2 separate regions of the Mus musculus genome follow, and region 1 is reported to be linked to region 2. The links are microRNA targets in miRTarBase. Many come from high-throughput screens and were not tested one by one. Region 2 holds a microRNA gene; the other region holds the end of a gene's coding sequence.

Evidence for each region. The annotated mature microRNA mmu-miR-455-5p reads UAUGUGCCUUUGGACUACAUCG and lies in region 2 at 4,175-4,196, opposite strand. An mRNA with a match to its seed (bases 2 to 7 or 8) in the 3' UTR can be bound and repressed. Matches are read on the target gene's strand: a 7mer-m8 pairs with bases 2 to 8, a 7mer-A1 pairs with bases 2 to 7 and ends in A, and an 8mer does both.
Region 1: the mRNA of Calr is a reported target of mmu-miR-455-5p. The part of its 3' UTR that is shown has no 7-base or 8-base seed match.

What each region holds. Positions count from the first base shown.
Region 1 is chr8:84,836,143-84,844,943 of GRCm38, reverse strand. Calr (calreticulin) reads left to right here. Exons shown (of 9, transcript NM_007591.3): 4 at 1-73; 5 at 161-370; 6 at 453-566; 7 at 736-879; 8 at 1,908-2,000; 9 at 2,100-2,856. The coding sequence ends at 2,297. Rad23a (RAD23 homolog A, nucleotide excision repair protein) reads left to right here and starts at 4,292. Exons shown (of 9, transcript NM_001297606.2): 1 at 4,292-4,450; 2 at 5,989-6,150; 3 at 6,294-6,475; 4 at 6,616-6,671; 5 at 6,810-6,937; 6 at 7,177-7,255; 7 at 7,351-7,484. The coding sequence starts at 4,379.
Region 2 is chr4:63,252,262-63,261,062 of GRCm38, reverse strand. It overlaps Mir455 (microRNA 455), which reads right to left and starts at 4,212; the gene lies at 4,131-4,212. It overlaps Col27a1 (collagen, type XXVII, alpha 1), which reads right to left. Exons shown (of 61, transcript NM_025685.3): 8 at 7,375-7,419; 9 at 6,721-6,774; 10 at 6,322-6,366; 11 at 3,950-4,003; 12 at 2,867-2,911.

The DNA.
Region 1 (8,801 bases), not on the chromosome of region 2:
CACCAAGAAGGTTCATGTCATCTTTAACTACAAGGGCAAGAATGTGCTGATCAACAAGGATATCCGGTGTAAGGTGTGCCTGGGGTAGTCATTTAAATGGCTGTCATGGGAGGTCCCGGCAGCCTGGTGGGAGGGACTGCTCACCTCCTTCCCTCTTCAGGATGATGAATTCACACACCTATACACACTGATTGTGCGGCCAGACAACACCTATGAGGTGAAAATTGACAACAGCCAGGTGGAGTCAGGCTCCTTGGAGGATGATTGGGACTTTCTGCCACCCAAGAAGATAAAGGACCCTGATGCTGCCAAGCCGGAAGACTGGGATGAACGAGCCAAGATCGATGACCCCACAGATTCCAAGCCTGAGGTTAGTGTTGGGAGGGTAGCTCCACCTCTGTCATAGAATGGAGGACATCTGGGTCCACTTTGACCTCCACGTGTACTCCTAGGACTGGGACAAGCCAGAGCACATCCCTGACCCTGATGCTAAGAAGCCTGAGGACTGGGATGAAGAGATGGATGGAGAGTGGGAACCACCAGTGATTCAAAATCCTGAATACAAGGTAGGCTTGGGTGTTTGGGTGTGGCTCCCTGGTGGGATGTTTCCTTGGGTGCTATGATTAATGTTGCACTGCAGAAACAAACCAAGATAGGCCTTGGGGTCCTAGTCGGGGTTGTTGGCTGTACTGTGGGATGTGTCTGCCTCTCTATTCATCTGGTTTTCTTCTACAGGGCGAGTGGAAACCACGTCAAATTGACAACCCAGATTACAAGGGTACCTGGATACACCCAGAAATTGACAACCCTGAATACTCCCCCGATGCAAATATCTATGCCTATGATAGTTTTGCTGTACTGGGCCTAGATCTCTGGCAGGTGAGACATAGGAAAGACAAGGGTTCCTGGCAGACCTCAAGTCAGGATCATACTGGTTTATCTGGAGGGAAGAACAGGCAGAGGCACCAACCCTAAGGTGTTCTGAAATGGTCCGCCTAATGAGGCATTTCCTGTTTTATCTCCTTTTTCTTACTCAAGAAAGATGGTTTATTGTTAAAGCATTTTTATGTGTATGGTTATATAGAGGTCAGAGGAAAACTTATCAGAGAAGTTGGTTCTCTTCACTATGTGAGTCCTTGGAATCAACTCTGGTCATTAAAAAAATCTTGGCAACCAAGTGCCTTCATTTGCTGAGCTATCTCTGCCTCCACTGAGCACTTTTCTCTTTTCTGCAGGGCTACTTGGCATGTGCTAAGTCTTTTGCCAAAGTGCCCCTGCAAAATCACCTGGGATTACCCAGTTACAGCTCTGCTCACTGCCCACCCTGGCTACATAACCAAATAAGATTTTAAGAAACATTGGTACCGAGTTTTTGTTGTTGATGTTTTGTGTCTAGGCCAGTTCTTGGCATGAGTTGGAAAAAGAGAGCCCCAGAATGCCTGTTTTATAGAGAAAGTAGTGTGGAAAGTGAAGCCAGTAGTCCATCCAGGTCATTAGGGTGTGAGTTCTGGAAGCATGGCTTCTAAACTGTAATGCTCCCAGGATCACAGCTCCCCCCACCCCGCAACCCCCAGCCAGGCAGGCTGGTCTTGGTGTATGTATGTATGGTATGTACTGACTGGCCTAAAATTCTTTACTTCTGCCTACCTTCTCAGTGCATCAACTTACATACTTGCCTGTCCCACCCACTTTTCTTTTGGACATGATCTCACTATAATCCTGTTGGCTTGGACCTCCACAAGTAGTCTGTCTTCTCAGAGCTGGGATCTAAGGCATGTCCTACCACACCCTGCTGCCCCACACATTTTGGTGGATTCAAAGACTAGGAAAGGTGGGAATAGAGGCCTGTCCAGAGCCAGGACTGCCAGAAGTCACTGCTGACCACCTGTCTTTCCGTTCTTTCCCAGGTCAAGTCCGGGACAATCTTTGACAATTTCCTCATCACCAATGATGAGGCCTATGCAGAGGAGTTTGGCAATGAGACGTGGGGTGTTACCAAGGTGGGTCAGAGCTCTTTGTTTACTCTAGGGGTCATCTGGGAGGACTGGCAGACAGATTTGAGCCAGGTATTAAAAGATATGGTTGGTTGGTCCTCACAGGCTGCAGAGAAGCAGATGAAGGACAAGCAGGATGAGGAGCAGAGGCTTAAGGAAGAAGAAGAGGACAAGAAGCGTAAAGAGGAAGAAGAAGCTGAGGATAAAGAGGATGATGATGACAGAGATGAAGATGAGGACGAAGAAGATGAGAAGGAGGAAGATGAGGAAGAATCCCCTGGCCAAGCCAAGGATGAGCTGTAGAGGCCACACCACCTGCCTTCAGGGCTGGACTGAGGCCTGAACACCCTGCCGCAGAGCTGGCTGCTCCCAATAATGTCTCTATGAGACTCAAGAACTTTTCATTTTTTCCAGGCAGGTTCAGATCTGGGGTAGATTCTGATTTTGTTCCCCTGCCTCCCCCATTACCCCCCCCCCTTTTTTTTTTTACTGGTGTTTGTCTTTAATTCTCCTTCAGCCCTCATCTGGTTTCTCATTTTTGAATCAACATCTTTTCCTTCTGTCCCTCCCTTTCTCCATCTTTTGGTCACTACCCTCCAACTCTAGGAACAGGGGTGTAGAGGAGAAGCCCTAGGCTTGAGATTTCATCTGCTCTCCTTCCTGCATCTCAGAGGAGGGCAGGAGAAGGGGGTGGTGTTTTCCCTCCCCCCGCACTGAGGAAGAATGGGGCTCTTCTCATCCCCTTTCTCCCTTGCCCCCAGGACTGGGCCACTTGTGGGGCAGCCAGTTCTAGCACAGCTCACACTGAGAGTGTAAGAACTACAAACAAAATTTCTATTAAATTAAGTTTTGTGTCTTCCCTATTGTGTCTCCTTCTCTGGGAGGATGTACATCAGGAGCTAAAAGCAGCCTTTCTCAGGTGCGGGTGACGTATGTTTCAGCTACTGGAGTTTGCAGAGTCTCAGAAATGTCATTTATATGTATCCCATAGTCTCTAAATGGGAGAGTAGCCATCAGGTCTTGATCCTAAACTCATAGACGTGTAAGTTTTGATTCTAGCACAGACCTCATTGACAGACTGACTAGAATTTAGTGAATTCAAATATTAGCCATCTTGGTTAAAAGTGGGATGGATCTGTTGGACTGACACCTAGGAAAGCTGAGCAAAGTTCACAGTAGTGGGGTGCATGCTGGTAGATAATAGTCAAAGGGACTGACTGAGCTCAGGGACAGTGATCTACTTTCCCCAAGGGCCCATGGTTCTAGGACTGAGCTGATAAAGATAGATTCCAGGATTGGGTTATGTAGTTCAGTTGGACACTTAGCTAGCATGGCCTGGGTTCCATCCCCACCACAAGGAAAAGAAGAGACTCATTGTTGAGTCTCAAGGCTGCCTTTTATACTCTAGTGTAGTAGGTTGAAGAATGGGCAGGAGGAAGCCTGTGTTCTTCACAAGAAAGTTGTGATCTAGCTTTCAATTCTGGAGTCTAGACTCAAGTGAAGGGAGGGAGGCAGGCCTTGGTTAATTGCCTGATCATTGGTGTGGATAGAAACACTGGGCAAAGCAAGCATCTAAGAGGATGGTGATGTTAGTTCTGTTTGAGAGTCCCTTAAATCACCCTGATGAACTGCCCTATCCTGAGTCTGACATTTTCATTACTTTTTGGTATGTGAGGGTGGTCTAAAGCTTCATGAATACTACCCCTTCCCCCCACGAAAAATGTAGGTACCTTAAGAGTTGGTGTAAGTAAGGAAAATTTATGGAGGGGAGAATTACATATTTAATATAAAAGAACCTTGAAAATGTTTGGATGAATAGGTAGGTCATTGCAGGATTACAAAGATGTGGGGAACTCATGAACTAGAAGTGTAAATTTATTCCAAAAATTAAGATGGTCCTTGAAAATGGGGTCACATAGTTGCCCTCCTCTACATTGATTGATGGTAACTTCTAGGCAGTCCTCTGCTAAGATTCCTTTTATTTTGACCAGATCCAAATTGGGTCACTTGAAATAGGCAGAATGTATGAAAAATAACTTAGGAGCAGAAATCTACAACAAACACCTTAAAAACTTTAAAAGTCCTTAGGAGCCATTTTGTGGGTATAATGACATCACTGTTAGCAGAAATGATGTCACCAAGACAGCGGAATGCTGGTGCACACAGCAAAAGCTCACAAAGCTAAGATTGCGCATGTCTAAGGTAAGGTGCAGCCGCGCATGCTCTAGAGGTCGAGGAGGGTGTCACCGGCGCTGACGATCGGCGGGCGCTGCACACTTGCCCCGGAAGTGCTTGGCGCGGCGCGGCTGGGCGCTAAGATGGCGGCGGCGTGAGTTGCATGTAGTACGAGGATCCCGGGGCTGCCGCATTGCTCCGGCCCCGCCATGGCCGTCACCATCACCCTTAAAACGTTGCAGCAGCAGACCTTCAAGATCCGCATGGAACCTGACGAGACGGTGCGGGCCGGAGCCCGGGGGCGGGAGCGACCGGGTGCCGGGGTGGGTGGGGGCAGGGATGCCGGGATCCAACGGGAGGGGCGGAGAGGACGCCGTGGCCAGGCCCTGCCCTCCCCCAGCAGCCCGACCTCCTCGGATCCCCCCGATCGGCCCTGCCCTGCCCCGGCGGCTCGGGCGCTGTTCCCGGGCCAGTCCCTGGGAGTTCCCAGGTCTGGCTCCCGTGTCAGCTGCGGGCTCCGCGTTCCCAGCCTGCAAGCTGCTCAGGTGGCACAGTTTGCCCTCAGTGCCAACGAGGTGCCGACTGGTGACTACAATGATGATAATAATAAATGGTCTTAATCTTAATAGTTTTGGTGGTCCGTCTTTGTTGGCCGTTTATTCTTTACCAGTTTATTCTTTACCAGAGTATTAGTGTCATCTTGCTGAGTCTGCAAAACAGTGTTGTCGTTTGGGGACTCCTGACTTTCCCCTTTTGACAACCACGGAGTTAAGGAACTTTGCCACGGTCACAGCCAATAATGACAGTGACAAGATTTTTTTTTTTCTCCATTTCACATAACAGCAGCCTAAACATGCTGTATGAACTTTTGTTTGGTTTTGCTTTTTGAGAGTGGAGTCTAGTCTTGTTCTTCTGGGCTCATGTGAACCTTCTTTACTTAACCTCCAAGTAACTGATATTGCTGTCTTGGGCCACCTCCCCTAAACCTTCTCAAAACATAGGTTGAAGCCATTGGTGTACCCTCAGTGAAGTCTAAGCTTGGTAGTCATGTTCATAATCTCTGAGCAGAGATTACCTGGAGTTCTAGGCCAGCCTGGGCTATGATGTTTTAGGCAAGCCTGGAGTTGAGTACAGAATAAAATCCTGTTCCAAAAATGGAGGGAAGAAAGATGACCTCAGTAAGTACAGAAAAGTTACTGTTTGAGGCCAGCGATGGATACACCGTTTCATTTTCTTATTACTGTTTCCCCTCCTAACCACATCCCATTGGAAATACAAGTTTGCTTTTCTTCTCACATCAGTGTCTTCTTCATGAGAACACTGACTTGTGTTTGTTCTGTTCCACAGGCCTCTGTAAAACAAGTTGTAAAACAGGTTGGGGATGGAGCTTTTGAATATACAAGGCCTGAGCTAGGGGTCTGTCCCCAAACCACCACTACCATTACACACACACACATATACACACACGGTGAACAGTTCCCGTGTCTGGCATGTAATAGACTGCTGTCAGCTCGATAGATTGAATAGGAATCTCATAGGATTGAAAGCAAAGCTTTTTCTCTAAACAAAAGGGAAGAAGAAGGGAACCTAAGGGTTCGTGATGGTCATTGTATTCTATTTGAAATGGTCTCACTATATAGTCCTGGCTAGCCTGGAACTTAAAGAGATCCACTTGTCTCTCCTAAGTGCTGGGATTATAAGTGTGCACAACTATGCCTGGATTTCACTGAGGGTGTCTTGGTGTGTTAGTGCTATTTATAAATGCACGCACACTGTACTATTAAACTTCTGTGTTTAATACCTGTACTCCTTACTCTAGGTAAAGGTGCTGAAGGAGAAGATAGAAGCTGAGAAGGGTAGAGATGCTTTCCCCGTGGCTGGACAGAAACTCATCTATGCTGGCAAGATCTTGAGTGACGATGTTCCCATCAAGGAATACCATATAGATGAGAAGAACTTTGTGGTTGTCATGGTGACCAAGGTGGGGAGATTAGCTGGGATGCTGGCAAAGAGCTTGTATGCCCAGGAGAGATTAGCCTTAGGCAGGGTGGGGCCATGATGGGGCAGGGTGGCAAGGCTTGATAGGGATGCTGCTTGCCTGATTCTCGTTTCTTGTTGTCACAGGCCAAAGCTGGCCAGGGTATCCCGGCACCCCCAGAGGCCTCACCCACTGCTGTCCCGGAGCCCTCCACACCTTTCCCTCCAGTCCTGGCATCAGGCATGTCTCATCCCCCACCTACCAGCAGAGAGGACAAGAGCCCATCAGAGGAGTCAACCACCACAACATCTCCAGAATCCATTTCTGGGTAAGGAAAGGGCAGTAGCTTACCCTGTACCCACTCTGTCTTCCTGTGCCTTCCAGTACCCACCTATGTGGTCCCAGGCACTTTCGGGGAGGGCAAGCCACCAGAAGCCAGGGTCCGATTTCTCTCTCTTGAATTTGCAGCTCTGTTCCCTCTTCAGGTAGCAGCGGGCGAGAGGAAGACGCAGCTTCCACATTAGGTGGGTGGGTGGTCCTCAGGGCAGAGGCGACTGGAAGCCCCAGCCATCAGCCTTTGACAGCCTTGTCTGGGTCTGGGAGGGTCTGGGAGCTGTCCTCCTGTGCCTCTGGTGACCCCGGCCCTGCTGCTCCCTCCACAGTGACTGGCTCTGAATATGAGACGATGCTGACTGAGATCATGTCCATGGGCTACGAGCGGGAGCGGGTTGTGGCCGCATTGAGGGCCAGCTACAACAACCCCCACCGAGCTGTGGAGTACTTGCTCACGGTGAGGGGGCCATCACTGCCTCCTGGGAGTCTCCAGGTCTCCGTGCCTCAACAGGCAGTGGAGGTGGAGCCTACCCCATAGGCTTTTGTGTATTGAGTGTTGCCATTGAAGTCTTCCCAGAGAGGCTGGACAGAGAACGTGGAGGGCAGGGATGAGACCTTCCTGTCCTGTCAGGCTGCTCACTTGGGAGAGGGGAAGGGGATCTGTTTGAAAGAACTAAAAAGCAGGATCCCTGACAGGGAATTCCAGGAAGCCCTGAGCCTGAACATGGTTCTGTCCAGGAAAGCCAGGCGCCTGAGCAGCCGGCCACAGAAGCAGGTGAGCAGGTTGGATGGTGTCCTCATGGGCATCTGCAGTCTGGATTCCGAAGCCCCTGCAGGGAGGGCTCTGACCACACTTCTTCCTGCCACCAGCAGGGGAGAACCCCCTGGAGTTCCTGCGGGACCAGCCTCAGTTCCAGAACATGCGGCAAGTGATTCAACAGAACCCAGCGCTCCTGCCTGCTCTGCTCCAGCAGCTGGGTCAGGAAAACCCTCAGCTCCTGCAGGTGCGGCCCAGGGTGAGGGAGCTGAGACAGCCACCTTCCCAGTTCCTTAGGGGATCACCCAGGGAGGTAGCTTTGCTCTGAGAAAGCAGAACTAGCAGAGGCCAAGCCCCTGCTCCCTGATGACTTCTAAGGTTACATTGTAACCTGACTCCTAGGGAGGTGTGGATGCTATGGGCATCCATCTGCTGAAGACATCAGAGGCTCAGAGCAGGCTGCCATATGTCTGGCTGGGTCCTGGACTCCAGCCACAGCATTCTTCTCAGTTCTTGCTCTGTCTGCAGCTCCTCTGTCCTGGCCTTCTTCCTGATCTGACCTTCACCTTGACCCTCTCTCTATGTGGTGACCTAAACCTGTGTCATTATACCAGGTCCCTTGGGACCCTCTCATCTGAGCTGTGAAAGGATTTCCTGGACCTCTGAGTTTTCAGACCATTCTTCTCTGTTTGAGCCTCTCACAACCTCCTGGGGACTCTCTCTGCTTCTACCCCAATATCAGCCATTTCTCCCACCCAGTGTCCTGGCATCCTCTTCTCGAGCCTTTTAATTCTACACAGGGCCCCCGATGAACTGTCCACCTAGAGGCTAGATTGCTGAAAAGGCCCTTTTTAATGTGAGAATTGTCAGATGTCTGAAGAAGCAAAGGGTGGCATCAGAACCTCTGGATTTCCAAGTAGAGTGTATTTAATAGGTACCGTGGCTGGTCATGGTAGTGTACACCATTAAGCCCGCACTTAGGAAGCTGAGACAGGAAGATCACTGAACTTGAAGCCAGCCCCTTCTAGTAGTGAGATCATCTCAAAACAGAGAAAACCTAAAGGTTGTGCAGCTTGAGTGCCTCACTAGTGGGCTGCTGCTCTTAGCAGCTGCAGGCCTGGGTTCCACGGTGGCTTTCCTCTGCCAGGGAGAACGTTCAGCTTCTCTGTGCTGTTCTTGCCACAGAGCTCTTCTGAGATTTGCCCAGTAGAGCCATCCCAGGACATTTTTACAGGCTGTGTGTTTTAGCCACACATGGCTCTACCACAGACAGTAGGCCCCTCCTACAAGGCCTTAGGGACTTACCTAGCACATCTGCAGTTAATTGGTTTGAACTTTGTTTTTGTTTTTTCCCCCTTTAAATCTCACTATGTAGGTTAGGCTGGCTTAAAACTCAGGTTGATTCTCCTGCTTCAGCCTCCCAAGTGCTGGGATTACAGGTATGAACCACTATGCCGAGTTTCGGCACATTTATTTAACTTTTTTATTTGTCTCACCATGGAGCTCTGACTACTTTGAAACTCTTCTGTAGACCAAGTTGGCCTAAAACTCAAATCCACCTGCC
Region 2 (8,801 bases):
TGAAGGTGGTCTGAGATGGAGGAAGCCCATAGCTTAAGTGAACAGCAGTTTGTTGCCCCAGTAGGAAACTGAGATTCAAAGCTTCTACCACTCCACTCCCGAGCAGACAGCCACATCTACCAGCAACCCAAGGCCTCTATTCCTTGCCCAGCTGGCCATCCAGTGCCTACTGGCTGTGCCTGATGTATGCGTGATGACTGCACATTAGCCTATGGCAGCAGGCACTACCTTCTTCCGTTGCCCCAACCCCTGACTGCAGCAGCCTGGCCCATGGCCCAAGGAATGAACTTGGCTCACTGCCGGGCGTGCTACGTGGCTCCTCCGCTTTCCCAGGTTGGGCCCCTCTGGGACTGAACGCCTCGCCTTATACTGTGAGCAGAACCAGGCTGGGCGGAAGAAAATAGACTAGGGCAAGGCTCCACCCTCACTCTGGATGGCAACAGTTCACAGGGCCAGAGGTGTGGACAGCAACATGCCAAGGCCCAGACATCTAAAAGCATTTCAGCCAAGCTCGGGCCTCCAGAATCTGCTCCTCTGATACAGAGGGTGGATGCAGGACCAGCGCAGCCTGAGCATTCAACAGATGACCTACTGAGCTTCCAGGCTCTGTCTCCTAGCCTATAAACCAGCCACCTCTTTGTGCCCTAGTCAAGACCAAGCTAAGCATCATTAACAATTCTCCGGCAAGCTGATGTTTATCATTATATCACTTGTCAGGGGTGGTACCCACCACGGGACTATTCAGCAGCCTCCAGGAGGAGCCACCGAACTTAGAGAGCTATAAGAACAAAATATTTAATTTCTGGAAGTCCTTCCACAGGTCAAGCTTGCATGCTTTCTACTGTGCTTGAAATACGCTGATAGGGAAGGCCTCTGAATTTCCCAGATCCCTTGTTTCATGATACAGGTCATATACTACTCTGCCCTGTGAAGGAAACTAGAAAATCTCTCCAGTTATGCTATCAAGGGAGAAAGAGATGGAGACAGACAGGCAGAAGTCTTACGGAGACTCACAGGCCACCAACACCGGAGGCTCACATGTAAATGAAAAACCAGACCCTCCCCCTCATCATTTTGGGCCTCAGTTTCCCCACATGGGGATATATACTCTCTCCTTCCCTATCTGATGACTAGGAAAAACCCAGGGCAGGAATTCCTGACCTGAACCAGATAGCTGTGTGTCCTCAGGCAAGCTCTCAGCATCTCTGAGTCACAGAGTGGGAGACAGAGCCAAGCCTGGGTCAACTGATCTAGTGTTGGGACTGCCTTCCTGACTCTGTGCAGGCCTGGTCACAACAGGCAGATCCAGGCCCTAAACAGCATGGTAGGGGTAGGAATCCCCAGTACACTGATGAGAGAGAGAGAGACAGAGACAGAGATAGAGACAGAGAGACAGACAGAGAGAGACAGAGAAAGAGAGAGACAGAGACAGAAAGAAAGGGAGAGAGAGACAGAGAGAGAGACAGACAGAGACAGAGAGAAAGAGAGAGAGAGACACAGAGAGAGAGAGACAGACAGACAGAGAGAGGCAGAGACAGAGACAGAAAGAAAGAGAGAGAGACAGAGAGAGAGACAGACAGAGACAGAGAGAAAGAGAGAGACACAGAGAGAGAGAGAGAGAGAGACAGACAGACAGACAGACAGAGACAGAGAGAGACAGAGACAGAGAGGGAGAGAGAGAGAGCGCACTAGATAAGAAGAATCACTATAGCCTCTTTCTAGACTCAATGAGAGATTCTGGCTAGCATGTGGCTCAGCCGTCTGCTGTGCGTAACCCTGAACCAGCCGGGCCAGAAGTCCTGCCAGCACTAGCTAACTGCCAACATTTTATATTTGGACCTTCTTCCAAAATTGCACACCCCCTTTCTAGCATGAGAGGTGAGGCAAGGGTGAGAACTGTAGATTTCGCTGGAGGAAAAGGGAGTTGATGGGGAGAAAAGAGACCCTGTGGGAAACGCCCTGCATTATCAATGGTCTTAGGTTCAGATCCAGACTTGGCTCCCTATTTTCTGTGTGACCCTGGTCAAGTGGCTTGCATTCCCTAGTCAGTGGTAGGTCTGATTAGATGACCTGCAGGATGGCAGCAAAGAGCTAAGCCACCAACTGGGATAGGACCCGAAGAAAGTTGTCTTGGTGACAGTCACAAGGCCTCACCCAGAGGTCTATCTCTTAGAGACTCAGATTCCCCTTACAGAATCAATGGCTTTCCTAACAGAGTCAAGGAAACCTACTTTTATGATATTGGTACCATTTGGTATTCCCAAGAGTCAGTCTTGGATGTGCCCTGCTCCAGCTGTTCAGGGGCTGCAATGCCTTGGACACCTTTTGGGGCCTTGTCTTTCTCTTTATGCCCTATAGATGGTTGGCAAGAGGAAAACTAATCCCTTATGGCATTGAAGCGATCTAAAGAGGGCTCGTGGATTTGGGTGGGGGTCAATACTGAACCATTTCTGGGATTCCTCTTGAGGCCTACCATACTCCCTAGTCATCTAGCCTTGCATGTGCATAAATGAAGTCAGAGTGGGAGACCTGACACTGGGGACCCTGTGCTGTCCAGGGGAGGACTTAGGTCCCCTAGTGCCTGCTGGCCACTAATAAAAACATCGGGACAGACACCCCAGACGTAAAGCTTTACCCGCAAGCTGCTGAAGCATTTAGGGATAGAGGAGCCACCTGGAGCAGCCAGAACTCCGGGCAGCATCCCAGGCCAGTGATTGCCCCTGGTTACCCTGCCCTACACCCAGAGCAGAGAAACAGAGCTGAGAGGCAGACAGTGCCAGGTCTCAGGGACCACCAGTGCAGTACGCGGCCGGCAGGAGGTGGGACTACCCGTAGAGTCTGCGTAATAGACACGGAAAATCTTTACCGGCCTACCCATCTCGCCCCTCTTGCCAGGAACGCCAGGGAGACCCTGTAGGGGAGAGAGGAGAAAGATCATAATCAAACTCCAGGGGGCACCCACCGCACCCAGAATAAAGTCCCAAGGAGTCTGGAAGGCTTGCCCAGAGCATGGTGCGAGCTGCATGCTCATTGCATGGATGCGGGTTCGGGAACTCATAATCACCTACTGGGAGAGTGCTAAAGGAAGCCGCCAGCACTCCTAGCATTCAGCAGGTGCTCACTAAGTGTACCTTCTTCTGCTTCCCTGTAATGCCCTGTATTTAGCTTAATGACGGGGTTACAACTGAACTTCCAAGTACAGGCTTGGAGGAAGGAAGGAGCATGTATTAAAGTCGCCAGCCCTAAAGGCCTGTGGGCAGCTCTTCCCTGACTTGGACACTTGGTCTGGAGGGCAGTGTATCTTGGGAAGTCCTGAAGCCAGTCTATACACATCCCCAGGACCCAGGACTGAGCCAGGCATCCTTGATGTCCCCATCTCTGCTGCCACCAAACTACCATGTTCCTGCCTGGTATCCCTGGCCTGGCATCTGACACTTGGCTCTGTCCCCACCCTTCTATGAGACAAGCCTCACAACACTTTATAAAGCAGCCAAGTGCCGTGCCAGTGATGAGTGGATGCCTGTGCCAAAGGGAGGAGAGAGACGACTTGGCGCTCTGTGGGTGGCCTCTGTCATAGCTACTCAGCTCTGTCACGGTGGCAGGAAAGCAGCCATAAACAGCCGTGATCGATAAGCAGAGCTACGGTCAATAAAACTTTATTTACAAAACAGTCAACTGGCCATCCTTGCAGAACATATAAATGCCTGTGGCTGGTTAGAGACTCCTCTGCTGAGTCCCTTCTCTAGCCTCACTGCCCTGCGTACCTAGAACACCAAGCCTGGGGCACCCCTGCCTTGTCCGGGACCACCAGTGCTATAACAGTGAAGTATACACATGCTGCTTCCTGGGCCTCACCCTACTTAGGTACTCCCAGCATGGACGTCATCAGCAGGCAGTCTGCTATCGCAGAAGAAGTAGAGGGTGTCGGTACACAGACAAATGTACTTACCCGCTCTCCATCCGACCCTGGCAGGCCAAAGAGCCCCGGAAGACCAATGTAACCCTAGAAAAGAGCAGGTGGGGATCAGAGAGGTTAAGCATAGGGTGCAGTCAGCCCAGCCTCCCTGCTGCCATCCCACGGCCCGGTCCTCTGTGGTGGTGGCTCCAGGGGTCCTCGATGACATAGACCTTGAGGCAAGTGTATATGCCCGTGGACTGCATGGTGCTGCGTTCACGATGTAGTCCAAAGGCACATACGCTCACACCAGGGAGGGCAGCACAGGATGGCAGAGGCCCGGCACCCAGCTCGCGACCTGTGGAAGGAAGCTCGTACCCAGGTTAGATGCTGCAGGGCTGGGAGATCTGCCTGCCTTGTGGATGCTCCCTGCAATGGTTGCTCCTATAGTTCAGAGGTCCTGGATCTGGGGGCTTGCATCTACCCTGGTTGACAAATGCTGCCAGTCAGCATGCCCCCCCCCCCCAGAGAGCTGACTCTGTGCCAGGCACATGGGTGATCCTGAGTTAACCCTGGCAAGAACCCCGGAGGCTAGAGATGATGCCAATTTGTATTCAGCTGATTTGTGTTAAGCTCAAAGGTCATCTGGGCCCAATGGACTTAAGGACCCAGGCATGTCACCACTTTACGTGGGTGGCCCAGAGTGAATGTAGCTGGTCTTTAGTCCCCAAGTCTGAGTCCCCCCTGAGTCCCCAAGCAGGCCTACCCTGCCTACCTCATGGTGTTAGAATCATGACATACATAGCCCATCTCAAGGGCTCTCTTTCCTAGTACCAAACATGCAGATCAGAGCAAGCTCATCCCCCCAGCATCCTTCAGTATCCTGATAACAGGGCTTCTCTCTTTGCCTCCCTGTCCTCTGATAACTTCTCAAGGACCAGGATCCAGCACAGGGTTTGTACCAATAGAAGCTATGCAGCAGTTTAATGATAACTACAGCAAAAGCAACTGCTTGCCAAGCCACCTGCCAGGCCTGACTCAATGCTTCACGCACACTGAGCACACTTTGACACTGTGAGAAAGTTATCATCTATAAAGTTCACACTTGAGAATCTCACAATCAAGTTATAAAAGCGGTGGGGGTGGGGGGGGGCGGGTAGATTGCAAAAAATCTTATAGAATGTTTTGAGTTTATTATTTCTTATTGAGTTGGGCTGAATCCATAGCTATCTATCCTAGGACAAATGCAGCCCACAAGCTACGGACTGGACACATGATTACATTATCGCATCCTTACAACGCTCCTGGTAGGGGTTATTAAAATTCGCTACAGCTGAGAACATCTAGGCCCAGAGAGGTAAGATGATCTTCCCATGGCCACACAGCTGTAGCATAGCAGAACTGGTCTCTGAATTCAAGCTCTGTGGTTCCTAGGCCCACACCCCTAACCAGTGCGCCATGAACACACAATTGAGGAAGACTGGTACCAGCTCTTCTTCCCCAAATACCTCAGTAACCAGCTTGATCAGCAACCACCATCTTAACCACTATACCCTGCCTCTTCCATATAGAATTCATGGCTTGTGTTCACAGATGAGTGTCCTTGGAGAAGCCTAGTGACCATCTGGGGTCAGTGACAGAGTCAGAGACTGGGGTGTCTTAGTCAGTCATGCAGACTCCAAGGCTGGTGTGGGTAGTACTCCTTCACACACAAGAGAAAGAAGAGGAAGGTGATTGCCTTGGACTCTGGGTGCTCTCTTCAGATTCTAGATATTCCCTCTGAGGCCACTACTCATGGGAGCCTCAGGAGAGAGACCCAGAATCCCAGAACAAGAGTGGCCCTGACCCTGCATGCCATGTAATGTCCAAGGGACCTTGCCTTCCCATGTTGTGCCCACCCTCGTAACTGCTAGACTGCTACAGAGATTAAGGCCAGTAATGGGTCCATATTGGCCCCCCAACCTACTATACTATACTATAATATAATATAATATAATATAATGTAATATATATAATATAGCTTTGGCTCGGAAGAGGATATGTCACTGAGGACCTGCCCAGATTGACGGCCATGTGATCTACTTGCTGCTGAGCATTTCTTGAGAAGCAGCAGGCCTGACTTCAGGAGTCCAGTCTTAGCAGCATCCTGGCATGCATCATCAATAGAGCCACCCATGCCCACAGAGACCCACGTCGATTGTCTTCTACCTCCGTCTCCCTACTCAGCATACCCAGAACCTTCGCTGTCTCCTTTCTGGGAGAGCCCATGTGGAGTGCCTCCTTGGCAGTTCAAGGTAGATGGAGTTCAGTGGTTGTCAGGCCCTAGCCCACAGTCTCTCATATCCCTGATCTCCCATCAACCCATAGAGCGCCCAGTGATGTCTATGCATGTGCCACCTGGGTGGGACTAGCCAAAAAGCACTTACCCTGCTGCCTTTGGGGCCAGGGTCTCCTACAGGTCCAGGGAACCCCTGAAACAGAAATATGGGGGGCGAGGACATATGGAGACGCCCTCCCTGCTGCCAATGTCCCAGGGCCAGTCTTATCTTGGGCTTCAGCTGTCCTTAGAAACATCCATGGTATGGGTTGAACCAGAGGTGACTCAGGGCAAGACTGGAGAGGAGTCTTGGGAACCCCTTCTCTAAGCCCTAGTTCTCCTGTAGAACCTCTGAGCCTGCAGCATTGTGGCCAGGTCTAGTCCCTGGCCAGCCCTTTCCTTAGGGTCTGCCCCCAGGGGCAGTTTATTGGCCCCAGCCCACATCCTCCCTCTCCTTGGGGCACTGTGGCCACCACCATGGGCAGGGCTTCCAGAGCATATACTGCACCTGCCTGCCAGGGTAACCTTTGGCCCCTGGACTGCCCTCAGGTCCTGGCTGCCCCTGCGAAGGAACAAGAGAAATGTTAGGAAAGGTGAGGCCCTTTCTAGCTCAGTCAGGGTCCTGGGGTTGGGGAGGGTACCTACAGTGGACAAGGAGGAGGCAAGAATGTGAGGCAAAGGGGGAAAGACATCAAGCCGTGTGTGCTGGGCCCCAAGCCCACCTCTCTTGAAACTGTTCAGACCAGCTCTTGGGACAAATCTTTCTGCTCCAGGCTCAAAATAAGAAAGCACAGATGAGGGCTGGCTGGATGTTCCCTGGCAGGGCTGCTGTTTGAGTTGGGCCAGGAGGCCAGAATTCCTGCAAACCCCAAGGCGAATGGAAGGGATAATATCGCCTAACATTGCCGGGGACAGGCCAGCTATTCATGGCTCTAACCAGAGTCCAGGGGCTTCTGCCAGCCCTGGGCTGGGCTCGCAGTACAGACACTGGCTCTTCTAAGAGAGCGTGGCTGACTGGGGAAGGGCGGGGGTGATGGTCAGGGGAAGTCCTAAGGCCTTGTTCTGGGGTTCCAGGGAAGGGAGTCCAGGGAGGAGGCTGGTACCAAGCAGGAACTGGAAGAAGGAAAATCAGGCAGTACAGTGCAGTGCAGGCAGGCCTCACCTGTTCTCCAGGGTGCCCTGCTGCTCCAGGATGGCCCTTGTGTCCCTGTGGGGGTGAAGAATTGTCATCAGGCAATAGGCTTTATGGTAGGGATATGGTACACACTTCCTGCATGGATGCAGGCCAGATGGAGTTCACTGAATCCTCTGGAGTCATCTTTTGTTAGAGCAGAGGATGGGGGTGGAGTGAGAGACTATGACCCAGTGGTCCACATCCCAGCCTTGCCTTGGAAGTTCAGAAAGTTGGAGGCAGTCAGGAACAGGAGCAAAGGGTCTGTCACATAAGGAACAGGGACAAGGGCGATCTGGAACACACACGGTATCTGCCACTCCAGTTCATGTACCATGACCATATCACCTAGAGACACAGCCTCTTTCCTTGCTGGCTCTGCTCCTATTCCAAGGAGAAGAAGGCTGCCCAGATGCTCAGTGGCAGCCTTGACTCTTCATCTTCATTCAGTGACACCAGGCTGCCGCCTGGCAGGCCTCTCACACCAGGGCTCTGTTTAGGAGAGACACTGCCCCTGACTTACGGTGCATGTTTGAGTGTGTGATCGTCAACCTTCTGTGGACCTCTAACGGGGGATTTGAAACTCTGAGGCCCCTTAGGTTCTGTTATCTTCTAACTCTAAGTTCTAGGGCCCCTGAGAGTCTATGACAAGGGATAGTAAGTCAATCAGCACAGGCCCTGGACAGCCGGCCATATGGAGATCATGGTTGACATAAGTCCCTACGCCACCTCATTTCTTTCTGTTTTGTTTCTCTTTTCTGTCCCCTTCTTTTTTTTCCTCCCTTCCTCCCTCCCTCCCTCCCTCCCTCCCTTCCTTCCATCCATCCTTCCTTCCTTCCTTTCTTCTTTTATTTTAAGAGAGAGTCCCATGCAGCCCAGGCCGGCCTCCAACTCCCCATGTAGCCAAGGATGGCACTGGCCACCTGCTCCTCCTACCTTCACTTCCCAGGCCTTCACTTACAGGCCTGTACCACCACAGCTGGTTTATGTGATGCTGGGAGTCAAACCCAGGACTCTAGCATGCTTGACACTCTACCAGCTGATCCTTCATCCCAGCCCCCTAACGCACTTGCTCTACAGACACATAAACACAGCCTCACACAGGTGTCCGTCAGCATCCTGGATGCATAGGAAGTCGCAGTCTTCATTACAAACAGAAGAATCTGTCTTAGGGAGGGGGCTCGGGAAGTTCGCCAGCATTTCTTCAGAATCGTCTCATGCCAAGAGAGACTACCACCCACGAAACACATCTTACTCTAGATCAAGAGCTGCCCCTAGGAAAAAATCCCCCACTGGGTCACAAGTAGGCAAGGTGATCCCCAGACTACAGCAAGCAGCTAGACAAAAGGATCTCCGCTCTTATTACAGATCGATTTGGATTCCAGGACTGTTTGCCTTCGGGCTGGCTATGTGGCCAG